Linked DNA regions of Drosophila melanogaster. Changing the gene in region 2 together with the main gene of any one other region gives a genetic interaction. Each region holds a gene or a part of one and is shown on either strand. Other genes may lie near its edges.

Region 1 (4,059 bases), on a different chromosome or scaffold from region 2:
GTTGTTCAGTCTAGGTTACTCTAGTCTAAGAGCTAGTTAGGGAATGGTCTCATCATGGCGCTCACTTGTCACTCAAATTTTAAACAAATGCACTAAAAGAACTTATAATTATCCCGGAAATTTCAAAATAATTTAAACTTTAACTAAGAAGCTTGCAAATACTGGTGTGTGGTTAGGCAAGTACAAATAGATAAAGTGTCGTAAAAAAATGTGTGCGAGATGATTCACATAATCATAAGGTTTGCTTAGTTATATTACCTGCCCAGATGTATCACAGCTAAAATATTTGTTAAAAAGATTTTTCAAGATCTTAACTAAACTAAAATATGTACTATTGTGTGATAGGTGAGTATCGTGATTAGTTAGGCCTTCAAATGTGAGTTGTGGGCTGTCAGGACTCAGACCTGGTAATGTTCGCATTTCATAACGAATTTCATGTAATCCTGGAGATTTAACTTTGCCTTCTTTTTTGTCTCATATCGGATTGTTTGCGTTTTGAGTTCGGGGTGGTCAAAAATAAAGTGTATTGCTTATAAAAACATATTGTAAAGTCAAAAGTATTGAGTAGTACTTTAATCGCTTTAGATGAATACGCGTTGTATAGGTTCTTGTTCTCATGACTACACTATTTGTACAATATGCTCATTAAGTAAACTAGTTGACTAATTTATGCTACGATTACATCAATAACAATTAAACCAAGTGTAACTATCGAATAAAATTGTATTTTTAAACAATTTGTATAATTACGTGGGGACGGGACTTTTTCTTTGATGTGTGAACCAAGAACTGATAAGGGCTTAGTTTATAACAATTGCAAGATATATAAACAATTAAGAGCGATATTCTTGATCTAAGGACAGCACTCGCTCTCGTCGGGATTCTTCTTGTTCCAGCCGAAGAAGAAGTAGCCCAGACCCAGTCCCAGGATCACTGCCAGGCACAGCCAGTAGTTGAAGGTCATGAAGATCAGCATCAGCAGGTACGAGATGACGATCTGCAGCAGGTTCAGCAGGGACTGGACGATGTGCGACGAGGCGAACAAGCGCTGCCAGTAGGTCTGCTCCCTCGGCTCCGCCAGGGGAGCTTCCGAGCAGCATCCTCCGGCTGCCGGAGCCTCGTTCTTCCTACGCTGCTCCGCCGCCAGCTGCTCGCTTGCTCGACGGGCTTCCCTGCGCGCCAGTTGCTGTCGCAGGAACTTGAGCGCCTCATACAGGAAGGACACCAGGAAGATGGCCAGGGCGGAGAGCACGAACTCCGTCACAGTGGACGCCACCCATCCGCGCCACAAAATTCGCTCGCAGTGTCCAGCGTGGAACTGAAAGGATGCGAGAGTGAAAGATTAACTACATAAGAATCCATAAGATCAGTAAGATGAGGCTTAAATACCAGTTAACTACCACTAATTACCACTTAATAACTTTCTAATTCGTATCTATATCTAGATTCCTAGATATCTAATATCTAGGTATATCTATATGGTCACTTTTGCTAAGATGATCCTTAATACAAAAGTTTAATATTACTTTTAGTTTTATAAAATATCAAGCTTAAGCTTTCCAATTAAACATCAACATAAACATAACATTCGAATTAAACATCTTTTTTATAATTCCCTTACAGCGGTATAATTTAACCCATGAATCTTTATTCATGAGACACCCTGTTCGAGCATATTCAATTTGTATTATTTGTATTTGCTGAGAGCGAATAAAGCGCTAGAGAGCGAATAATTCGTTGTGGTTTCTGGCACATAAACATACTTATACGAACTTATACTAGGGAGTGACTAGCCAGAGAATTCAAATTCCAAGTCGGACGAGATATTTGTTTGCTCTCCGTGCAAATCTCATTCAGCTAAACTGGATGAGTGACTTTTAAATTACAGCGTTTAGCGCAGTGGTAAGTGATTTTGTATCAAAATTGTTGGACACAGGAGTTGTGTAACTGCGTACTCACCACCATGATCATAGGGCAGGACTTGGCCGTGCTGGTGCTGTCATCCGAGCCGTGATCCATCTTGGGCTGCTGGTGTAGTATAGATATAGATAGAAGGCGTGGAAAATCCGACTGGCGATCGGGGAGGCACAGTGATAAGAGCTAGACCTGCTGAGGTGCTGAGAGCAGAGCGTTGACTGCTTGAAACCCGCTGCTCGCGAGTGGTTTTTTAAAGAAAATCGCACCTAATCCCCCGACGCGGCGATAGGAAAGTGCGCTTATCTATGGGCAATGGGAAAGAGCGTTATCACCCAGTAGCGGCGATACCAACGATAGTCGCCCCACACTAAGAAAGGCAGCCCAGATACAGTCATGTAAATAAACATAAATGCATGCAGATCTCAGTGTTAGAGGTCAGATCAAAAGATATATTCTGGGTATCAGTTGCAGATCTTTATCTCGAGAGATAAAATCCATAATTGATGCGTCGTGGGTTTCTCTGCGGTTTGCAGCTTAATTTATGGACTCATGGCAAAGGTTCGACAATCGATTCGTGTGCAGAATTTATTGCAATTCAGATTATCAATCATGGGCTAATACAACCCCCTGAAATTGTTGCTGTAATACATGATGTTGAAATAATTCCATTATTTCTTCGCTTCGATCACGGTTTTATGGCTCTAGTCGAGTACATTCATACGTAGGTATATGCCCATATTCCGGCATGGGAGCGATAGCAACCGTCGGCCGCCGGATCGCCGGAGGTCTGCCTTAGTCCACTTGGCTTTCCTAGAGTGTTATTTCTTACTGTGCTATTTCTAACTGGGATAGAATGCCGCCAAAATTGATGGCCGTGCGCAAACCTTCTGCGGCCGTGTGCATAAATTCTACGGACATTCCTGCGCCGTGTGCCAATTTCGAAAAATGGGCGACGTGCGCAAAACATTAACGATATTGCAGAGGGGTAAATGGTTGGGTCTACGCAAAAAAGAGAGCAAAAGCTTTTGCTAAACTGCTTAGGTGGAGATAACTGTAAAGAAGCTTTAGTTATTAGTATTGGTAAAACGAAGAACTACATTCCGCATATGTTCTTCTGTGTTTAGATATATAAATATGACTTTGGTGAAACACAACTCAAAAGTTAACAATTAACACAAGTTGTTTACAACTTTAATATATTTGTCTTTGAAACTTAAATTCAAATTTTTATCGCCAAATGCAGCAGTGCCACCGGATCATATTGTTTTTTCATCTATCCGGCAACTCTTTGTCTGCCTTTACCCGGATGGCAGCCCTTTGACATTCCCAACCAAAGTTCCATTAAACATCTTGCCATTTTTTGACTGTGAGTTTACGAACAAATACAACTTAACATCGTGTGACTTAATGCTTTAATCGTTGAAGGTGCTAGTGCAAGGCAAATCGCAATGTATGCGCTTCGACACCTGCGACTCCAGAGCGCTAGGCACTTCCGCAGCTCTTATGCAGCGGCGGCAACAACAAAACACATGCTGCCCCGGCAACCAGCGCGTGTTCTGATTGGAGATTGGAGCACTTGGGATAAGTCCCGGCTGCAGGATGTATGCTCCAGGAGTTCGAGTACCGCCACTGAGCCCGTGAAGCAGCAAACGCCGCTGCAGGAACTCGTGTCGGCCGCCAAACCCTATGCCCAACTAATGCGAATCGACCGGCCTATTGGCACCTACCTCCTTTTCTGGCCTTGCGCCTGGAGCATAGCGCTCAGCGCGGATGCGGGCTGCTGGCCGGACCTCACCATGCTGGGTCTGTTCGGCACCGGGGCACTGATAATGCGCGGCGCCGGGTGCACCATCAACGATCTCTGGGACAAGGACATCGATGCCAAAGTGGAGCGCACGAGGTTGCGGCCCTTGGCCTCGGGTCAGATCAGTCAGTTCGATGCCATAGTATTCCTCTCGGCGCAGCTCAGTCTGGGTCTTTTGGTGCTGGTCCAGCTCAACTGGCAATCCATATTGTTGGGCGCCAGTTCGCTGGGCCTCGTGATCACGTATCCGCTGATGAAAAGAGTCACCTACTGGCCCCAGCTGGTTCTGGGCATGGCCTTCAATTGGGGCGCCCTACTGGGCTGGTGTGCCACCCAGG
Region 2 (4,872 bases):
AGAAATATGATTGAGGGAACACTACTCATGGCGGTAAAAATAGCAAGAGGGCGTCGTCGCCGAACGGGGAGCACGGCAGGAAGGAAGGAACACAACAAGCAAGGCACGGATGAAAAATTGAAAAATTATTGTACCGCAGAATAATGAGCTAGCGAAGAGCAACAACAATGTAGAACGTAGCGAACTAAGCCCATCACAACAGATCATTTGGACTTAGTCGCGGGAAAATTTAGTTTATGACCGATTCCGCATATCTTTTGAAGGGTTTCAATCAATCGGGTACTTTACGTATCAGCTGGTCTAAGTCTATCTATTACCCTGTACATTTTATCAGTCGATTTCCTGTATCATCCATATCTATTGAAATGTGAGTAAACATTGTGTAAACCCTTCAGCATTCGTGACTTATCACAAAGTTGTTAACTAAGTTTCGGGAGAACTGATTTGCTTTGTATTTATATTAAAAGCCCTATCAGCTGTACATGTTATTTAGCCTATTTCTAGAGAATAAAGACCTTTGAGACATTTACGATTTTTACCCTTTGGGAAAAATAGAATATATAGAGAAAACTTTTTATAGTGCCAAATCGCACTTTGTTGGGGGAGAATTTCACAATAGAAGCCACTACAATTTGGATTCTTTTGAAAACCGGCTTCTTTACATCAAGTGTTAATGAGTTTCGGGGAAATTTTCGGTCGTCTTCGCCTAACACATTGTAGAAATATACATCTATGTATGCATATGTATATCCATCTATACATTCTGCTTGGCATTTGGGGTGGGGGTAGAAATCTAAATGCGTTCATCGCCGCAACTATTTTTGGCCCAAACAAATGATTTTCGATACAATCATCAGCCGAAGTGGAGGCCCAAAGGCATGCAGCCATTATGATGCCCATTGGCACATAGTCTCGGTAATATTGGATGTTTGCGACGAGGGTATGCGCTGGTCGAGTCGATTGAAGCGCGCAGAAATGCAACAGGCTGAGAACACAAATCAGGCAATTAGCAAGCAACTTGCAAGCGATTCGGACACCGCGTTGTAATAAGTGGACATTGGAACGCTTGAAATTTGCCAACACAAATTCTCGACAAGGAAGAAAATATGAAAATTCGATTTTGCCTCTTTTTTTTCGTGGGCAGCCAAACAAAAAGTGAAATAAAATTTAAAAAAAAAATCGGACACGTCACGACAGACGCTAGGCAAATGTTTTCCTTTTTTCCGCGCTCTCTCTCTCTCTCTCTCGAGAATCTTTTTGTGTGTGGGCAGTGGAAAATTAGCAGCGAAGAGGGGCGGTGGTGTCCCTGGCGGGGGTCAGAATGCGGAGGGCAAGGCACACCTGACGGCCCACTATAATTGGCCAAAAAACGACAAAAGCACCAAGCACAAATCCACTCATACATGACACTAAAAATATGCAATTATTATTCCCGTTCTGGCTTTTGCACCAAATCGAAATTAAGTGATTTTTTTCGTAAGGCAATCGAACGATTTCAAGGACTGGCATAAAATTAAATATTAAATAATATCGGCAAAAAAGTGTATATATTTTTAATATTTCATAATTCTGTGCTCTAATCATAACATAAATTTAATGAATTAATTATGTGCTCAAAGCTTGAACCAAATTCAATATCTCAAATAAAATGCTTTGCCAAGACTTATGATTTATTTTGATTTTTTGAATTCAATAATTTTCCTTGAATTTTGTTTAAAATATATGGCAAAATTCTTGCTTCGATATATATACAATATGCATACACACATATGTACGAAGTTTCGAGAACCGATTTTTTAAGGCAATATATAGTTCTGAATCTATATAAAATTATAGTTACATTTTTCTACACGAATAATATTGCAATTCCAGAACGGGTTGTTGTTATCATATCTATAAAACACCACGCCTAAGCAAAAAAACATTCCAAATACAAGCAAATCATAAAATACACATGCAGCGGTGGGTGTACGTGCAAGTGGGGAATACCTCGTCTCAATTGTGAAATAAGCTGGAGAATTGGATGTGGAGTCCCTAGAGATGCTGTTTCCAGTTCCCTGGTCGTTATCACAGTTGATTGGAGGATTTGCAGCCTCGTTGGGGCTGGACACCATGCTGAGCGAGACCACAGTGGGCGGCTGGACTTGGACGAGCCTCTGGTTCTCGAACTGGTATTCCAGCGTGAAGCAGATGTCATCCAGATTGAACACCTGGGCGGTGATATCGCTCAGACTGGCTATCAGCGGAACTTCAGAGTGGCTGGAGCTGAGATTCTCGGTGGTATGGTGATATGTGATGGGTATGACCGTGATGGGCAATGGTGTTAGTTGATCCGCAAGCGAAAAAGCGTTGTCCGCTGCCGCAGATACAACAACTTGTGAATGGCCATGAGTTTGAGATGCAGTGAGTTGATCCTGGGCACCGAATAGGTCGCCATATGTCGCCTGGGCGTCCCCCGTATCAAGGGTGAGGCCCAGATTAAGCACCTGTTGCTCGCCACTTGTGGATTCCGCCGTCTGGCTGCCGTAGATGCTGTAGTTGTCCCCATGGATGATGCCCAGCCCGTCGGCCTCCAATTTCGGTTCGAGCAACTGAGCTAGTGGCCTGTCGAAGTCCAGGGAACCAGAGGAGGAGCAATTGGATGTGACGGGCGGGGAGCCGGAAAGCGAATTGCGCGACGAGTTGGTATCATAATCCCGGCTGTCTGATAACGAATTTCCATGACTATTAGCGGTAGTCTTCCACTCGCTGTGGAAGTAGTGTTGTTGTTGTTGCTGGTGTTGTTTCTCTTGGTCGTTCATGTCGTATTATTTGTTATTTGCACACCCACGCACACTAAGACAAACGCTTGCTATATCGCATATGATATGCAGTTGTTATTCTCTTTCTCTGCTGCCACCGTGCAATATGTACATATATATAGATTGCTAAAGAAATTAGAGATCGCGAGATCGAAAAGCACACATCCGCGATCGAAAAGCACAAGCAACAACGATAAGAACCAGTGTGACCATGGGCGGAACGACAAAATATAACGCGGTTCTGGCTGAAATATACCATAAACTGGGATATACCGAAAATAGTGGAACGCAAAAGGGGACACCGCTTAGTGGGGACTCAAACCGCGTGTAGAGTTTTAGGCGGAGTCTCCAAGCGTGGTGTGAAATTGAAACTAAGGTGTTCTAATTTAAAGAATGAATAAATTTGCGAAACCAATATACTGCCGAATAGACTTATTTTTAAAGATTTTATATATTTTCTTATAAAAAAGAGTTTGTTTCATAACAAGTATTCTAGCCCATATTTAGGTACCATTGCACTGTACAATAGTCTCATTTAAAATGTTTAGTACAATAATGCGGTTTTTGTTAAATAATGTGTTCTAAGGTTCAAGTCCTCTCTTATTTCTATTTAATTCATCTACCTTCGAGATTTGCATAATTATGGTATATTTGCGGTATATTTTAGTATGTTTTTCACACAACCACCCTGGTCACACGGCATCCTTCTTTTTCTTTCGTTTCCGGCGAGGTATGTGCACAAATTTTGTTTCTCCACGTTTTTCTTAAAAATAATTGCTTATTTCTCATTTTAGCGGTGATTAAAATATCCATCGAGCAACATAATGGTACGTACCAACGAAAAACTGGCTGAACTCGAATCAAAAAGCGGTCAAACAAGCATAAAACGGCAACGACAGCCGCTTATCCCACGTGCATAGTGCCAATTTTGTTACCCCAAAAGCAATTATTTGTATCCGGCGTCTTGAAACCGTCCTTAATATCAATACCAAATAGCAATTCAAACGGAAACTTTAAAAGAAACCTAAACTAAAACCGAGTGAAGGCCTCTTACATTAAAAGTCCCCGAAAAATGCCGCAACTATCTCAGAAAATCAGCTGCAAATAACTATTTAGTTGTGACAGAAAACTATCGCAAAGATACAACAAAATGGATTGAACTATCGTGATACTAAACATTTTATCAACTACCACAGGGTCGCGTACGAACCAAGACGGTGAAGAAGGCCGCTAAGGTCATCATCGAGAAGTACTACACTCGCCTGACGTTGGACTTCCACACCAACAAGCGCATCTGCGAGGAGGTGGCCATCATTCCCACCAAGCCCCTGCGCAACAAGATTGCCGGGTAAGTGCCGCTCAAATCTCGTTAGTGAGTGGATCTATAATCCCCAAATTCCTTTCCAGCTATGTCACCCATTTGATGGGCCGCCTGCGTCACTCCCAGGTGCGTGGTATCTCCATCAAGTTGCAGGAGGAGGAGCGTGAGCGTCGTGACAACTACGTCCCGGCCGTCTCCGCTCTGGAGCAGGACATCATCGAGGTCGACGCCGACACCAAGGAGATGTTGAAGCTTCTGGACTTCCACAACATCCGTGGCCTGCAGCTCACCCAGCCCAACACCAACAACTTTGGTCGTCGCAACTAAGATTTGTATAGCGCGTAGATGATGATGTTCTGATTTGCATGGGATCACAATAAATTTGTGTGAAGTGCATTTAAAGTGTATGTTTTTGTGTTTCAATTAATTATGCGTATTCGATTGAAAAATATCCAAAGTGAACATCGTTTCCAAAGTGGCTCACCAGGCAGGAAACTCGATCTAAATTCAAGAACCCCAAGTCTGTGTTCCGTTTATCATCTTTATTCGCATTCGAATGGAAAATACTGTAGACATGCACATATTTGTAAATATGTTTATATTCAATCCATAAATATATGGGTTCGTTTTTACACAGACGATATATAAAAGATATTCTACGAGTGCACAATATTTAAATCTAATCGTGTACGCTGATGCCAGTATATATAATTATTTGTTATGTATATGATGGGTGGTAGCTATACGTAT
Region 3 (7,242 bases), on a different chromosome or scaffold from region 2:
AGGAAATAATGAAGTAAACTGAGTGATTATGATGTTTATGTTTTTTAGTGGTGCTCTATTGGGCTTTCGGTGTTCATTAGGTTCTTCCAGCTCATGGGCAGTGTCTTCAGTTTTGTCAGCAGCGATGTGCGCAGTAAAATAGATATCTTATACGCCCTGAGAGCCAAGGACGCGGAGGAGCAGGAACACTTTAATACCTTCAGAACCATGCTGGATTACGAGAAGGAGGCCCAGTTGCTTACTCAGAAGGGTTACGTGTCTGGCAGTCGAACGCTGCTACGTCTTCATCGCGGTCTTGGTGAGCGTTATGCGCATATAACTGCCACAGTGGCTAATTGATTGGTTTCTTCTTATCTAGACTTTGTCTACGAGTTTCTCAATCGGATCCAGGCGATACCCGACGACCAAAAGACTGTGGACGTGTGCAAGGAGGCCTACGATGACACCCTGGGCAAGCATCACTCATTCCTCATCCGCAAAGGAGCGCGCCTGGCTATGTACGCGATGCCCACTAGGGGAGATCTTCTCAAGAAAGTGTGCTCCGATGTCGAGGCGGCCAAAGAGAACCTGCCTTCCATGCTGAAGCATATGAGAACCAACTACGATCGCACAGAAGACCTCTACACGCTATACGATCTACACAGCCTGCCTTAGAATCCATACATACATAATCCATATCTATACATCTGGGGCATTCAAAAGATCTGATAGAGTGATAAATACCAAAGTTTCCCTACTTTACCCTAGCCAGAAAAGATGCCTATAATATGATATTATACCATACTTTTATAATATGCTTTTGTACTGTATCTAACTCTCTATCAGATCTGGTGTCTACCCCGGCGTAGATTATGTAGCTAAAATTTTCTGTATTGATTGTGTAACTGCAAGTATTCGTTTCCTAAGACGTAAGTTTTAATTTTGCATTTTGAATTGCCTGCAATCGCTCATCTATCGCCTTGTCCACAGGCTGTGCAATATTTCCAAAATCCCCCGTATTTTAACGCCATTAAAGCTTTAGTCATGAATGAAAACTTGTCTTATCTCTGGGTGTATTGAACTTGGTCAACCTGGACAAACATAGTTTCTCGTGCCAGTTCCAAATATAACAGCATAATAAGCGATCCCGATTAGATAAGCTGCTGGGGGAATGCTACCTCATAAAAAACCCACTTCGGATACAAATGGCTTGGCGTATCTGCTTGTGATTATGGTCCAAGACAAAGACCGCTAAAACTCCCCTATATCTCCAGAATCCAGTCAAGATATATGGCCATTTGGGCTTAGCGAGCTAACTTTTGGAGCGCAAATTGCAGTAATGGCCGCCGTTTCAATTGCAGTCTAATTGCGCTATCGATTACGCCTTAGTCACTATCACTACGTATCACTATCAAAAGCGGTGAACTCTCAAAAAACGTGTTGAGTTGGCCACTTTATCGCCGTTTGGACAGGCGTTGTGCCAAGTGCAAACCGTAGAAGATGGTGGTTCTCCGGACAAATAATCCACAGACGTCACTGCTCCGTCTGTGAGTGCTGAAGTCGTTAAAAGCGCCTTCGACCGTCCGTTTTGGGGCATATTCAATCCGTCTGGCGCCGCGAGCATATGGAGCCATGGATGCTTCTAAGCAGTCGAGTCCGAAAAGAGAGAGTAATCCGTTTATCAAGGCCAATATAATCTCTAAGTGGCTGTTCCTGTGAGTCGTCAATATTTTTTTTTTATTGGTGAAAAGTGAAAATCTCTGCGGAAACGATGGTCATGGTCAATCAGTGAATAGTTTACAACTCGCGATAAGGATAGTGCTAATTGTTGCTAATAAGTGCTGATAAACAACATCTCCGAAAAGTTTAAGCAAAAAAGTTAAGATACTTGTAATGCCCAGAAGTCAGCTTTGGAATATCTTTTTCAAAACTCATTAAGTGATAATGGTTATTTTTAACCCATAGTTTCCACATGAGATTTCGGTCATAAATCGGAATTTCGCGATATTGATTGACCATTGACTGTTGGGCAGTCACGTAGTAATGCCCTGGATCAGACATGCCATTTGCAAGTCGCCTACCTTGGAGATACTTTGATAAGATATTGAACGACTTATCATTTTTCCTCCTTCAGATGGATGCACAGTGTTTTTCGGAAGGGCAGGCGGGAGGAGTTGGACGCGAGTAAGCTGTACGAACACCTGCCCAGTTTCGATAGTGAGTCCTTGACCAGAAACCTACAGCCCCACTGGGAGAAGGAGTCCAAGAAGAAAAATCCGAGTCTTATGCGGCTGATCTTTAAGGTCTACGGATGGCAGTTTGTTCCCGTTTGCATTTTATATTCTCTGTTGGAAATGGCTATTCAGTGAGTACAGAATCTAAATATACTTCCGGAAATCACAGCAATCTCACTTTTCACTTCCGCTTTAATTGCAGTTCCTTCCAGCCTTTGCTGCTCGGAGGATTGATCTCCTACTTCGCCTACGGCCAGACGACGGTGACCAAGGAGAGTGCCTATCTGTACGCCATGGGCATTGTCCTGTGCTCGCTGGTCACCTCCCTAGTGTTTCACCCATTTATGTTCTACGTATTCGCGGTGGGAACGCGGGTCAGATTGGCCTGTGCCGGCCTGGTCTACCGGAAATGTCTGCGCGCCTCGGCGAGCAGTGGCGAAGGACTTGGAGGCCAGGCCATTTCGGTGATGTCCATCGATCTCTCGCAGTTCGACTTGACTTTTTACTTCTTTCACGACCTGTGGAAGGGTCCCGTGGAGGCCTGTATCTTTGGCTACTTGATGACCCGCCAGGTGGGCTGGACATCACTGATTGGAATCGCCTTCATTGTGATATTGATACCCCTGCAAGCCTGGGCCGCCAAGGCTTCTGCTAGTTTCGGCACCCGATCCGCCAAGCATCGGGATGCACGGGTAAAGCTCATGAACGAGATCATCGGTGCCATCCAAGTGATTAAGATGTATGCGTGGGAGAAGTCCTTTGGACGCCTGATTGCCGCAGTAAGGCAGTCGGAGGTAAAGGCCATCCGAGGATCCATGAGCATATACGCCGCCCTGCAGTGCACCAATATGATCTCCAAGATATCGCTTTTCCTGAGTCTGGTGGCCTACGTGTATGTGGGTGACCTTGTGACGGCCAAGAAGGTGTTCATTCTGTCTTCCTACTACGGCTTACTCAATGATTCATTGCTGCACTACTGGCCCATGGCCATCACCACTTGGGCTCAGACTCTGGTCAGTGCGCGTCGAGTAGTGGAGTTCCTGCTGCAAGTGGAGAAGCCGACGGAGGAGTCCTGCTGCCGAGACAATCCCGGACTGGAGTTGGATGCAGAGAAACCGAAACCAGCACAGAGTGGGCGGCTCCACTGCGTACAAAGTGAGACTAAGTGCTTAAGTTTCCGAAAAGTGAGCGCGAGTTGGGACAAGCCGAGCATAAAGCAACCTAGGAAGCCACATATTGAGGGTATCTCCTTTCACATCAACGCAGGCCAGTTTGTGGGCATTGTGGGTAATGTGGGCTCCGGAAAGAGCACCCTTCTTCATGCCATTCTCGGTGAGATCGAGCTCATGCAGGGACGAGTTGAGGTTCATGGCAGGATTAGCTATGCCGCCCAACAGCCGTGGGTATTCCAGGGCAGCATCAGGGAGAACATCCTGTTTGTGGAGCAATACGAGGAGAAGCGATACCGAGCAGTGGTCCATGCGTGTCAGTTGGACAGAGATTTGGAACTACTGCCACGCGGTGATGCCACCGTTGTGGGTGAGCGAGGAATCAGCCTGAGTGGTGGCCAAAAGGCCAGGATTGCGCTAGCCAGAGCAGTGTACCGCCAGGCGGATATCTACCTATTCGACGATCCTCTGGCCGCCGTTGATGCCCAGGTGGGTAAGCTGCTGATGGACAAGTGCTTCCACCGATTGCTGGATGGCAAAATGCGCATTCTAGTCACTCATCATGTCCAGTTGCTCAAGAGTGTGGATCAACTGCTGCTGTTGGAGGGAGGAAAGCTCACCCAGCAGGGTAGCTATGAGGAACTTAAGGACGTTATCACCCACCATGCTGCTCTGGATCTGGAGGCCATCGAGGCGGATAAGCAGCAAGTGAAGCGTGTGCTCAGCCAGGTGGACAGGACGTCAAAGCAGCTAAGCAAGGGAGAAGAAAAGGATCCTGCCACCATCCAGGATGAGAATGGCAATGCCGAACAGCAACTTCAGGGTGCCGTGAGCTACGATACCTATAAGGCTTACTTTCGGGCTCTTGGCGCTCCATTCCTGGTCTGTTTGGTGCTCTCCATGTTTGTCCTGGCCCGAGGATGCCAGGCCGTCATGGACATTTTCATCTCACGATGGGCCACTTGGGAGGAGGATAGAGGGTATGATTCGGTGGATGACTATGAAGCCACTCGCACCAAAATGGTTATCTGGTATACGGTGCTCCTGTTGCTCACTTTGGCATTGTTCCTGCTGCGCACCTTTGGATTCTTCTTCATGTGCCTGCGCATCTCATTGACATTGCACGATCAGCTCTACCATGGGATAATCCGCGCCTGGATGTACTTCTTCAATGCTAATCCATCTGGGAGAGTGCTCAATCGATTCTCCAGCGACATACAGAATGTAGATGTGAATCTGCCACAGGCTATGATGGATTCCCTTCAAGTAAGTACACCTAGCTCAACCACTTCTTCTTTAGTCTCATGCAATTCTTAATCTTGTCCCTTAGTTCCTGGTAGATGTGGTGGCTGTGCTGGTGATCGTGGCCATCGCCAACTATTGGCTGCTCATCCCAGCAGCCATTATGGTTATACTATTGTATTTCTGCCGTGCCCTCTATATAGGCGCCAGTCGAAGTCTGAAGAGGATTGAGAGCTTAAGTAGGTTCAAATTTATCAGAATAATCTAGCCTTACTAACTTTTCTCATTTAACTTAAAAGCACGCAGTCCCATCTACTCGCACACAAACCAAACCTTCCATGGACACTCGACCATTAGGTCCATGGACGCCATGCCGCAGCTGGAACAGACTTTCCATGGCCACCAGAACACAAACTCCTCTGCCCTTTTTCTTTATGTAAGCGCCAACAGGGCGTTTTCCTTCTGGACCGATCTGATTTGCGTGATCTATATCCTGGCGGTGACCTTTAGCTTTCTGGTTATCAATCAGAGCTTCTACAGCGGTGATGTGGGTCTGGCCATCACCCAGTCCATGACATTGGTGATTATGTGCCAGTGGGGAATGCGCCAGACTGCCGAGATGGAGAACAATATGACCAGCGTGGAACGTGTGCTAGAGTACGCCCAGACGCCATCGGAGCCACCACTTGAGAGTCCAAAGAGTGTGAATCTTGCAGCTGAATGGCCGCAAGCGGGTCACCTTCGATTCCAGGATCTTCGCATGAGATATTCCCCGGGAGACGAGGATATTCTTAGAGGACTGAACTTTGAATCCCAGCCCATGGAAAAGATTGGCATTGTGGGACGTACTGGAGCGGGAAAATCCTCTATAATTCAAGCTCTATTCCGATTGGCTCTTAATGAGGGAACCATCGAGATCGATGGACTGGACATTGGTAAACTGGGTCTCCACGACCTGCGAAGTAGAATCTCGATTATCCCACAAGATCCGGTTCTGTTCTCTGGAACACTGCGCTTCAATCTGGATCCATTTGATGAAAAAAGCGACGAGTCCCTGTGGAGTGCATTGGATGACGTCAAACTGAAGAAGCATGTTGCCTCATTGGAAGGAGGTCTCTCCTGTCGCATGCAGGACGGTGGCTCCAACTTCAGCATGGGTCAGAGGCAGCTGGTCTGCTTGGCCAGAGCCATTCTACGACAGAATCGAGTTCTGGTCATGGACGAAGCAACTGCAAATGTGGATACAGAGTAGGTTCTTAAGATATTATTTTCATTTTTTTCGTAATTAACACTTTATCTCTTAGAACTGATATCCTGATCCAAGAAACCATCCAGACCAAGTTTGCTGAGTGCACGGTTCTAACGATCGCTCACAGATTGCACACTGTGATGGACAATGACAGCGTCCTGGTCATGGATGCTGGCCAGATTGTGGAGTTCGGAGCACCTCACAAGCTCCTGCAGCGCAAGGATGGAGCCCTTCTTAAGCTCGTCAATCAGAACGATGCGACCACCGTAAAGTTCCTCAAGAGGATTGCATCAGAGAGTTATATGCGCCGCAACAGAAGAGACTCCTTGACCATTTCCGAAGAATGAGCAAGGATCGCCAGCGGAAGCAGGATTTAACTTAAGCATCGCCATTGAGAAATTGTACTGCCGCGGAGAACAGTCAAATTCGGTTTTATTGGTACGAAAAGTGTACGATAAAGTGTATTTACATAGCAGTAGAATTACGCTAGTACTAATGATAGTTCGGCACTTAAAACGAGGAGACTCTGACACACGCGCGCACACACAAGATTACAACATAGATGTATGTATATATATATATATATATATATGTATGTAGGTAATATATCAAAATTGTAAACTTGATGGATAGCCTAAGATGATGGTAAACATTCCATTTAAAATAACATTAGGTATTGACATGTATGGGTAAAACTAGGATCAGAAACACTCTGATATGCTCTCGAATGAAAAGAAAACGTTCTTTATGTTAGCTATACAAATGCTATGGTATGTACAGAGAACGCTAGAAACAAAAATATATATATGGTCAAACCACATCCGCTTCAGCTTCTTCCTGCTATTCAATCCGAATACGATGCGATGCACGACGCAGTGCAGCGAACTCCTTGAAGACCAGTCGCCCCAGCAGCACCATGGCAATGATGTCGGCAGCGATGAGCATGTGGAAGACATACTGCCATCCGGCGGTGGAGATAAGGCCGGCAAGCAGTGGACCAACTGCCGCTCCGATTGACCCAGTACCATCGATAATGGCCGTCACCGTGGCCAGAGCATTGGCATTTCCCTCCAAGGAGCTGTGCTGGCCCAGCTCTGCACTTACAGAGGTTGTAATCAGGGCATATGGTCCGTTCACAAAGATGCCGACCACAATCAAGAGCACTATGCTGATTGTCATCGACAATGCACCATATTGTTGATACATCAGCAGCTGAAACGAATACATGTTCCTAGTAATGGTTTCTGTGGCTTGTCTAGAGTACTTACAATGGGCGAGGCAACGAACAACATGCCTGTGCAGACGGTGGCCGACATTCCGCTCACATCTGATAGATAGCCCGCAGCTATTGCACCCAAAATACCACCCA

Evidence for each region.
Region 1: of MTF-1 (region 2) and Ctr1B, changing one suppresses a phenotype caused by changing the other (phenotypic suppression), as found in Drosophila melanogaster (3 studies listed by BioGRID).
Region 3: of MTF-1 (region 2) and CG10505, changing one suppresses a phenotype caused by changing the other (phenotypic suppression), as found in Drosophila melanogaster (one study listed by BioGRID).

What each region holds. Positions count from the first base shown.
Region 1 is NT_033777.3:8,315,697-8,319,755, reverse strand, and holds Ctr1B (copper transporter 1B), read right to left. Parts: upstream 2,145-4,059; 5' UTR 2,020-2,144; coding exon 1,960-2,019; exon of another isoform or gene 1,750-1,959; intron 1,319-1,749; coding exon 854-1,318; 3' UTR 551-853; downstream 1-550. Other genes in the region: Coq2 (coenzyme Q biosynthesis protein 2), read left to right, coding at 3,366-4,059.
Region 2 is NT_037436.4:9,428,451-9,433,322, reverse strand, and holds the start of MTF-1 (metal response element-binding transcription Factor-1), read right to left. Parts: upstream 3,012-4,872; 5' UTR 2,802-3,011; coding exon 1,990-2,801; intron 1-1,989. Other genes in the region: RpS17 (ribosomal protein S17), read left to right, coding at 3,626-3,628, 3,998-4,149, 4,209-4,449.
Region 3 is NT_033778.4:21,284,698-21,291,939, reverse strand, and holds CG10505 (uncharacterized protein), read left to right. Parts: upstream 1-1,596; 5' UTR 1,597-1,611; coding exon 1,612-1,694; intron 1,695-2,113; coding exon 2,114-2,344; intron 2,345-2,415; coding exon 2,416-4,648; intron 4,649-4,712; coding exon 4,713-4,863; intron 4,864-4,923; coding exon 4,924-5,872; intron 5,873-5,928; coding exon 5,929-6,220; 3' UTR 6,221-6,692; downstream 6,693-7,242. Other genes in the region: CG30392 (uncharacterized protein), read left to right, coding at 1-13, 81-298, 359-654; MFS16 (major facilitator superfamily transporter 16), read right to left, coding at 6,714-7,085, 7,142-7,242.